2 linked regions of the Schizosaccharomyces pombe genome follow. The gene in region 1 interacts genetically with each later gene. Each region holds a gene or a part of one and is shown on either strand. Other genes may lie near its edges.

The links.
Region 2: of cdm1 (region 1) and cdc1, extra expression of one rescues a mutant of the other (dosage rescue), as found in Schizosaccharomyces pombe (2 studies listed by BioGRID).

Annotation. Positions count from the first base shown.
Region 1 is NC_003423.3:2,305,191-2,310,460, forward strand, and holds cdm1 (DNA polymerase delta subunit Cdm1), read right to left. Parts: upstream 1,184-5,270; 5' UTR 1,051-1,183; coding exon 568-1,050; 3' UTR 537-567; downstream 1-536. Other genes in the region: protein Sad1, read left to right, coding at 1-536; chaperonin-containing T-complex alpha subunit Cct1, read left to right, coding at 2,246-2,276, 2,325-2,372, 2,411-2,496, 2,741-4,246; protein kinase C (PKC)-like Pck2, read right to left, coding at 4,597-5,270. UniProt on the Schizosaccharomyces pombe protein: Appears to have a role in the stabilization of the DNA polymerase delta complex.
Region 2 is NC_003424.3:4,011,979-4,017,057, reverse strand, and holds cdc1 (DNA polymerase delta small subunit Cdc1), read right to left. Parts: upstream 2,009-5,079; coding exon 868-2,008; exon of another isoform or gene 819-867; coding exon 571-818; 3' UTR 501-570; downstream 1-500. Other genes in the region: msm1 (methionine--tRNA (Met) ligase), read left to right, coding at 1-480; SPOM_SPAC27E2.14 (uncharacterized protein), read left to right, coding at 4,381-4,395, 4,447-4,536.

The sequences.
Region 1 (5,270 bases):
GACCATCTGCATTCATACCACGATTTACCTCCTATTTCTTTGATTCGCTCGTTGTTAGAGGACACGAACCTAGCATAGCATTAACTCCCAACAACGCAGTTGCGATGTGTTGGAGCTTTCAAGGTTCAGAGGGACAATTAGGAATTTCCCTATCACGCCCTGTATATGTAACCAATGTCACAATAGAGCACGTTCAGCACAAGATTGCTCATGATCTTTCTAGCGCTCCCAAGGACTTTGAGTTGTGGGTTCAGGGAATGTCCAGCAAGATGTTTGTATTGTTGGGAAAGGCGAGATATTCTTTAACGGAAGACTCTATTCAAACTTTTTCGTTTGAATCCTCCAATTATATTGTCGCTGAACCGATACAGAATGTGATCTTAAAAATAAAAAGCAACTGGGGAAATCCCAATTACACATGCTTGTATCAAGTTCGAGTTCATGGGACTGTACCCAATGCAGACGAACAACCAATACCTTCTTTAGGTGAGAAAGCCGAAAGTACTGCAGAGAATACGGGTCAAGATTCATCTTAAAGACCTACAAAATGTAAGATATAAAAATAATCTAGCCTGGAATGGTTTGAAGATCATAAAAGAGCGATTCTCTTTTTCGATTTTCCTCATCTGCTTCCTCGAGCATCAATATCTTTCCCACTGTTTCTGGAGGATTTAAATTGAAGTTTTTTGCACGTTTCCAGCGTTGCATCCTTGTCATACCAAGATATGGTCCATATCTTGCCGTAGTGTCAAAGTGATGCAAAATGAACTCTACTTTGGTTATATTTTCACAATGTATTGGTTCACTAATCCTTTCAGCCATAATTTGATTCCAAGCCTCTTCTACCTCTTTTGAAAGCTCATCGTCTTCTTTAATTCTCTCATCCAAGGTTTTGGTTGTAATTGTAACATCGGGTGTAGGCGACTGTTCAGAACTCACTTTCTTCCCTATGTGGGATTGACTTGAATTACTTCGAACTACATGTGGAAACACGTCGCGAATATTAGTGTTTTGCCCTGATTTTTTCGCTTGAGTAGTGCGCTTCTTCATACTGCGTGATATAATTCTGTAACACTGCGGTACTAGAATGAAAGGTGCACTATAAATCCAATTCTTTTTCGTGTTTACTCAATTTAGAGCATTAGTTTGTTTGGCCAAAAGAAATCTCTGAAAAAGTACATTTGGTTGCAAGTGTACTTTTAATATGTATATATAACTTTAGATGACTACTATAGCGATGTTTAAAATGCGTCACGCTGACGAGAAAATAAGTATCCAGCCATCCGCTCGTTCTTTATCGTTATACATATATCAGCCTTCATATATATTATTATTCATTTAGGTCCAAGTATTTAAGTGCATTATTGATAATTATTAAAATAGAAACTTCTTGACGACCCCTATTTCGGTATTTCTAGTTCGTTGTTGGAGCAAACAAGAAGTAAACAATACTCGTTATTAGTTCAGATAGTATTGTGGAAATTTCATAATTAGATACAAGTATTTTAGCAATACGTGTTGTCTTAATCCAGCCTTGGTCATGCAATTGAATCACTTGCCAGCCTTCCTAACATATCTTTAATACGTTTCTAAAAAGGGTTTTGGTCTTTACCGATTTAAAATAGGCAATTTCGTAAATGCAAATAGATATACTTATTAACATTTTCAAAATTTAAAAAATTTATAGTTAAATAGCTTTGAGTATTGCAAAATTTGTCTTTTGTGCTTTGCTAAAACAGCGTAACTTTTTACACTGCAATTGAAGCACAAAGACAGTTGAAACTTCAATTCCCTTACAGCTTTTAGTAATTTAAGTATCTAGTTTCATTAAGTTGTCTTTTTTTAAGGGCTTTTAAACTGTTAGTTATACAGTGGTAAACAAACTGACCGGGCTTTCTCAATGATTAAACTGCACTATCATTAAATACAGTGTAGTCAACCAAATTGTTATATTTTTTAATGCAGTCGATAAATTTACATAATGCTTTCAAACGTGAAAGACATCCTTCGTAAATCAAAATTATTGAATTTGTTAATTGTCCCTATGCTGCAAATAGTGCACAGGTAGTTTGTGTTGCAGAATTTTAGTTTCCACCAAGAGGGTAACATTACGCTATATGAGGTAACACTTAGAGGGTTTGAATGCTTTTAGTACATTTCAAAGAACCTTCCTCCCTCGACGTCTGCCAAACGTGTAAACAAAGATTGTTAATCAGTTTAGAGGAGAACATCGAATCTAGCTGAAATGTTTCAAGCACCGAGAGAATCCACTCTTTGTAAGCATCCAATATTGCGCTGGATGGTAAATTATTAACATGTTGTAGTTTTGAGTGGTGAAAAAATCAGTGGAGAGGACGTACGAAACCAAAATGGTATGTTAATTTTCTTTTCATAACTTTTAACATTTTAGTTTTGGCAACGACCGCAATTGCGAATGTCGTCAAATCATCCTTGGGTCCTGTCGGGTTAGACAAAATGCTCGTTGACGATATTGGTGTATGTTAAAGACCTCGTGAAGAAAAGAAAATTTTAGACAATAATGGGGGATATTGGCCTTTAACCAATATTTATTGATTTGATACGCTAGTGTTGTAATCTTCTCGCATTTAAGGAAATCTTAATTGGCAGGGAAGAGTCAACCTTATATTGTGAATCGAATTAATAAGTATTCCTGCCATTATAGTTCATCTTTTATTATATTTTTTCTTACTTTCTTTTATTTCTATCTAACTTGTATTAGGATGTTACTGTTACAAACGATGGTGCTACCATTTTATCATTATTGGATGTTGAACATCCTGCTGGTAAAGTGCTGGTTGAATTAGCTCAACAACAAGACAAAGAAGTAGGTGATGGAACTACTAGTGTTGTCATTATTGCGGCTGAATTGTTGAGACGTGCGAATGAGCTTGTCAAAAACAAAATTCACCCCACTACTATTATAACCGGTTATCGACTTGCTATCCGTGAAGCCGTAAAATTTATGACAGATGTCTTGAGCTGCAGCGTAGATAGTTTGGGAAAAGAGAGTCTTATTAACGTTGCCAAAACCAGTATGTCTTCAAAAATTATTGGTAATGATTCAGACTTTTTTTCAACCATGGCTGTTGACGCAATGCTTTCCGTCAAAACTTCTAATTCTAAGGGTGAGACCCGTTACCCTGTTAAAGCTGTCAACATTTTGAAGGCACATGGCAAAAGTTCTCGAGAGTCCGTCCTGGTTAAAGGTTATGCTTTAAATTGTACCATTGCCAGTCAAGCTATGAAAACTCGTGTTCAGAATGCTAAAATTGCTGTTTTGGATATGGATTTGCAAAAAACTAAAATGGCGTTAGGTGTGCATGTGACGATTGATGACCCCGATCAACTTGAAAAGATCCGTGAACGAGAAGTTATGATTACGCTGGAACGCGTCAAAAAAATTCTCAATGCGGGTGCCAATGTTATTCTTACCACAAAGGGCATTGATGATCTCTGTTTGAAATCCATTATTGAAGCTGGCGCAATGGCTGTTCGTAGATGCAAAAAGGAAGATTTGAGACGTATCGCCAAGGCTTCCGGTGCTACCTTACTCAGTTCATTGTCAAATTTAGAGGGTGAAGAAACCTTTGAAAGTTCCTACTTGGGCTCGGCTGAAGAGGTTGTTCAAGAAAAATTTTCGGATGATGAATGTATTCTTGTCAAAGGAACCAAAGCTTATTCGTCTGCATCAATTGTTCTGCGAGGCCCCAATGAATACTCTTTAGATGAAATGGAGCGTTCAATGCATGATTCTTTAAGCGTCGTCAAACGCACTCTTGAGAGCGGCAAAGTCGTTCCTGGTGGCGGCGCTGTGGAAACAGCTCTGAGCATTTACTTGGAAAATTTTGCTACCTCTTTGGGCTCTCGTGAGCAACTTGCAATTGCTGAGTTTGCACAAGCTTTGTTAATTATTCCCAGAACTTTGGCCGTCAATGCCGCCAAAGACTCTACTGAACTGACAGCTAAGTTGCGTGCTTATCACGCAGCCAGTCAAAATGCTGAGGTTACAGATGTTAAGAAACGGGGATACAAAAATTATGGTCTTGATTTACTTAATGGCGTAATTCGTGATAATGTTAAGGCTGGTGTTCTTGAGCCATCCATGTCTAAGTTGAAAAGTTTGAAGAGCGCCGTTGAGGCATGCATTGCTATTTTACGTATCGATACTAGTATCAAACTTGATCCCGAAAGACAACCAGAAGACCCACATGCAGGGTTGCACTAAAGCAATTACTTAAGCATAGGTATATTTGGCGGGTTTCATTGAATGTATCCAAAAATTTTGCTCCATAGATACAAATGCGATGGATATTAACATATATTAGCACTATAGCTGTTGACCAATAAACGGTAAATTATTAAACTCAGTAAATTACTACTTTGCTAGTGCTTTCATAAACAAAAGTCTAATGCCACTGTATGGATTATTAATGTGCATGCTTATAATATCATAGATACAACCCAGGTAGTAAAGAAATCCAAAAATGTTTAGTTTAAAAAGTCGAAATTAGAATAATTTATCAATGCAATGAAAGATTAAGAAAATGAGAGTAACTTTATGCTCAATTTAAGGTGCTAAGCATTATCGGTAGTCGAGGGTTTATCATCCTCGCATGAATAAGAAAAACCTTCAAAATGTTGCTGCATCTCTTTCGTCAGAATAGAATTAACAGGAGTAAGAACTGGGAGTTCTCGGGTAAATTCCTCATCGAAATACTTGGTGTCCGTAGGTGAATTCAAACTTGGAATGTACGGTGGTTGAGTTCGCTTATGATAGATGTCATCCCAATTAATGTTACTAAAAAATGGATGAGTCATGACATCTTCTGCATCGTTAGGGCCAGATCCAAGTCGTTTTTTAGGATCGCGAGTCAAAAGTTGTTGTAATATAGAAACGGAATCCCTTGGCATATGAATAGGATACAAAGGTTCATCAGATAAAATTGCATCAAAAATTTCTTCTTCGTCTTCTCCTCTAAATGGAGATTGACCAAGCAGCATTTGGTAAATTAGTACACCAAAAGCCCACCAGTCAACGCTTCTCGTATATTGCTGTTCTAATAAGATTTCCGGTGCCATAAATTCAGGAGTACCGCAAAACGTGGCAGTAGTGTTATCATGCCACATGTCTTCCTTACACAAACCATAATCGGCCACTTTAACATGACCATCTGGGCTTAAAAGGATATTATCAAGCTTAAGATCACGGTATATGATACCGTTATCATGAAAGTATTTTAGAGCAAGAC
Region 2 (5,079 bases), on another chromosome or scaffold:
TCTTTAGGTGTGCTACTTTCTCGATTGCAATCGAAGAAACTGTTCATTTCCAATGAAATACAGAAGCAATGGCATAAAAAGGATGATTTTACAGAATACGAAGATATTGTACACGAACTTATAGAACTTCCTGTTGTTTGCGCGCAAAGCATAGATGGTGGGTGTGTTTACGAGGTTATTAATCTTGTTCAGTCTGTTTTAAGAAGAGTCACTAAGCTTTTTCAATTGAAAGAACCTTGGAAATTATCAGATGATTCTCAAGAAAAGATTGACACTTTAATGTTAGTAGCTCACAGCCTACGCATTAGCGGAATTCTCCTACAACCTATAATGCCAACCAAGTCGACTGAGTTATTAGACCAATTAGGAATTCCTAAAAACCAGCGCTCCCTACAGAATGCAACTAACGTTTTTGAACCTACGGAGTTCACGTTCCACAGTGGTAATAATTCTCATTTGTTTGACAAAAGAACTCAATGAGACGTGTAGATCAGATAATTATGATGACAACAGTAAGAAAAAACTTATTTATTTAATAAATACATGATTAAATATTCAAGATATTTTGCATTAAGAAGTAATTGGAGTCTCTGCTTTGACTGACATGGGGCGGAATTGAATAATTTCTACGTTGAGCGTATGCATATTTATGAGAACAAGTACACCAGTCTTACGAAATTCGGGAACGGAAACCAATTGTATTCTGTTTCCCTCATTAATGACTGTTTTGCAGCCAAATTTCGGTTGATTACCACAAAGATATAGATCAGGCATTTCCTCCATTACAAATGTATCTTTGTCGGTGAAAGGATAGCACCCTAAAATCATTAGCAAATATATCGTTTGAAAAATGTACAGATTACTTACATAAGGTATCAGGGCTGGTAGGTGTGATATGATTCCATAGTAAAGTGTTTTCCATGCATTGAAGTGAAGATTTTTTGGGATGATATTTTCGGAGATCATTAATGTTTTGGCCGCTAGTAGCCAACACAAAATGATTGCCAAGAGAAAGCCAAGTGGGATTCGTAACTGTTTGTAAAGAAGATCCCAACCAAACTTTTGATTTAGTAAGTAAAGCGGGATGCAAAGGCTGTTGAGGAAGGATAGTTGAACTGTAATCATAAGGACCAGGCATTAAAGTGACATCTATGCTGGAACACACTTGATCAAGAAAATTATCTAGTTGGAAGGTGGGATTTGGATTGTAAGCAGACGTGTCATAGCCATATCTTTTTACTTTTTTCTTGCCAATGGGCACGGACGCAGAAGCGGAGTCGGCAATTTCTATAGAAGGTGCTAAGCAATTTCCGAGAATAATTAGCCTTTTGATGGAGGAAGGGGAAAAGGAAGAGACATGTGGAAGTGTTCCTCTTAGGAAATCTACAAGCTGATGAACTTGAATGCCTTCTATGCCGTCATTTGAGAGACCTAAGCCACTGACTGCCGCAATGTACTCTGGTTGAGCTTGCGATTCATCTGTAGTCATTGGAATGGAATGAGAGAAGATGCCTGGAAAACAAACGTCAACGACAACGAAACGACCTTGTTCATCTTCATGGCCCAAAACTGCAAGAACAACTCCTGTAACAACGCCAGCGTCATACAAAAAGCTTCCGCTACAATCTATACGGCCATAGTCATCCTCAAGAGCATATTCTATATCACCTGAAGCAGCATCTTCTGGGCTAACATACGGAGATTCTTCAGTAGTGGTGACAATTGTATGAAGTTGTGTGACATCGTTCATAACGTTTGGCTTAAGAGCTGTAGTCATATAAGCGGTAGCGACAACCCAACAGTCTTCATCTGACTTAACATCTAAAACGCGTTCCAATCGCTGTTTATCCGGCCATTTTTTTGAAGCGGCTTCTGTGATTCTGGGTCGAAGAGCGGTAAGTCGGGCGAAATAGATGCTGGCGTACTGTTGACTATACGTTTGCTGACTTAAACTAAGCTCCAAGCGTTTAGTTTCTTCACAAGGAATTGAATGTCTGACTTCAACCATGATTATTTTGTAAATATATACAGTTAGGTAAGTTAAACACTTACCAAAGGAGTAGTCAGGATATTAAATCGAGATGCTCCACGAAAAATTTCACAACAATGGAGAGTGAAGAGTTGTCTACGATTCATGCAATTACTAAAACGAGCGAGTATTGCAAGTAAATGTGCGGAAAAAAATATATATATATATATATATATATTTATATGATTTCCCAAAAAACCTATGAACGGCCCCAAAACACCTGTTTAAAAAAAAGAGGAATAAATATAATAACGCTTTTGTTGTTTTTTCAATAAAATCAGTTCTTTAAATGTTATTGACTAATTTACACAAGCAGCATATGTAAAGAGTAAGGAACTTCAAAGGTGTGCTATGCAAGGTTAAGGGGAATCAATTTCATGGAATGGAACCAGGTTTAGAAGGTTCGAATAAGCAAAGGAGTTGGATGCAGCAGATCAACAAGTAAGAATACGTTGTATATGAGAAAGTCGTGGTTCCTAACATGACTAGCTGTTGTTACCTACAACAATAAAGTGTTTGAAGAACATCTTTTTTTAAATGTAAACAAAGAGGTAAACTTGACGAAAAGAGAAAGAAGCTCAATAAAGGTGAATGTTTACTAATTGAGGATGAACAAACATCATGTGGGTTTATTTCGTTTCATACAATTAACATTTTTCTCAACCTTGAACAATCATGATGAATCCATATATTTAGTCTATCGAGTTTTATCACACAAAAGTAAAAGAAGCAAATTCCCCAACGAAGTAAATGAACTACAAACCCTTTCCTATAGCATAAAAAGTGGGTTTTCGATTTATTTGATGATTGTAAATTAATAACATTATGTTAATTAATAGGAGGAAAGGTAGGCCAACATAGTGCCCTAGAAATGGTTAAGGTGATTTCTGTATCTTACTATATTACTTATTAAAGATGTATATCAAAACTACATTAATTTAAATTGAGGTTTTATTTTATTCCGTTGAAATCTGAATATTAAATAACGCAATGTTGATCGGTCACACTATTACCCCATATGGAAAAGTATTGTAGAAGGAAAAGCAAGAATAGCAAAACCAAATTCAAATGTTTAAAGTAAAATGAAAAACTTGCCGATTTTCTTCTTCTTCAAAGATATCAATACATCCTTTATAAAAAAGCCGCTTGTCACGAGAGGTCAATGAAGCGGTATTGCCTGTTGTCCGATATCAGAGAGCTAGCTATAAATAGACTGTGGACTGTTAACATTCAGTATCGGCTACAGCTGCGGGATATCGAACACAGGGATAATCGAGTATACTGAGATGAATCAATGTTGCACGATTTAAAAAGGTTTTAACGACTCATAAACTTGTGTACCAAAAAAAATAAGAATCTCTATGTTAGAGAATAATAATTACTTGCATAGCCAGCCAGTTGTGTTTTAGTTGTTAATATACTAAATAGAAATAACTTGGCAACTTGAATGAAATGGAAATAAAATCTTATTGTGTGTGATTAATGCAGTAAAACATAAAAAAAATGAGAAACTGTTTACGTATTAAAAGGTCATACGGTTTAAAAACGGTTGAAAGTTTGATAAATTGAAGATCGAAAATTACGATGAGATCTTTTGCTTAATGCACTTGTATAGTCAACATTTCACACAGTTACATTTTCACATTCGCCGGAATGTCGAATTGTTTAAAAAACTTTTACTTTATAGTGTCTTGCAAGAAGGACCTGCCTGCATACTGTAAAAATTTCACTTTCGCACTGCTAGAGTTTGGAACAAACGAGCCAATAACGGTTCTGCGGACAGTTGTCGGTTTCCGCTTCCCCTGAGGTTAAACTAAAGCAGTAGAGGGATTTTGTGGGATCGGAGTTTGAGAATCCATGTTTTATATAAAAATTTCAGAGTTTTGTTGCTTTTTGTTTGTGCTCATCTGCCCCGATTTTTTTCCAAACAGTAAGTAACAAATCGATGCTGCTAAAATATTGATACTCACTGGATACCTTGTAGGGAGCTTGAAGCAATAGTTGTGCAATGATTGTGAAAGTCAATTTGGCAGAATGATGGGGCCTCGTGGTTGCTTGGTTAACGAATTAATAGAAAGCAACAAATCATTCAGATAAACCGGAAGAGACATAGATGGATATGAATTGTTCTTGTTCCTATATGTGCGTGCGATACATTACCGAAATTCTCTTCACTTCCGTATTCTCTCACTGCATGTTTGCGGAAAGTCAACGGACCAAATAAAAAAGTACATCGAGCTCCTTGTTAAACATTGGGACAACCGTCTAGGCTCGATCACGGATGTTAAAGCAGTCCTCACGCTGAACTTGTTTGGATTGGTGTGTGAAATGCAAGAGACAGGAGAAAAGAAATGAGGTTACGGAGAGTAAGCAAGTCCCAGAATTCCCGAAAAGCAAATTCCAATCTAACGAGCTAGTTGTTTAAACAACCAAGTACAAGGGTCCTTGGGGTGACAAATTGTCCAAGACAACAGGGACACCAAAAGAGAAGGGAACAGCCGGACTGAAAATAAGTCAGAAAAGATAAAATGCCAGTGCTACTGAAATTGAAACATTCTGCGACATTCACGGTATGGTATGACAGAATTATTCCCAACATCCTTTTTGTAGAAGTATACTTTTCATTTCAACAATCTATTCTTTTTTAAGTTGCATTTTTGGAAGCTTATTTTACCTTAACTGGCATCTATTTAGAATACCTCGGCTATGAGATGTAGCGCAGTACCGTATTTGATCCTCGTTCTTTAGTTGTCTTTTTATTGAATTTGGTACTGTATTCGTTAGGATGCGCTGTGAGATATATTAGGTGGGAAGCGATGATTTCTGTATTCTCCTTAGAGGTTGTTTAATTGTGGATTGCATTTTTTTTTGCAATTGAAAGTGGAATTGGAATTTTGCGAGTGAGTGTAAAGAACTCCTTCTTTGCCTTTCTACATACTTTTTCCGTAAAAGTAAAAAAAAAGTAAAAGGAATGTTCTATCTAACAGCAAACATTCGCAGTCATTATTGCGTTGGGCTCAAACCAATTGATGATATTTTACGTGTATATG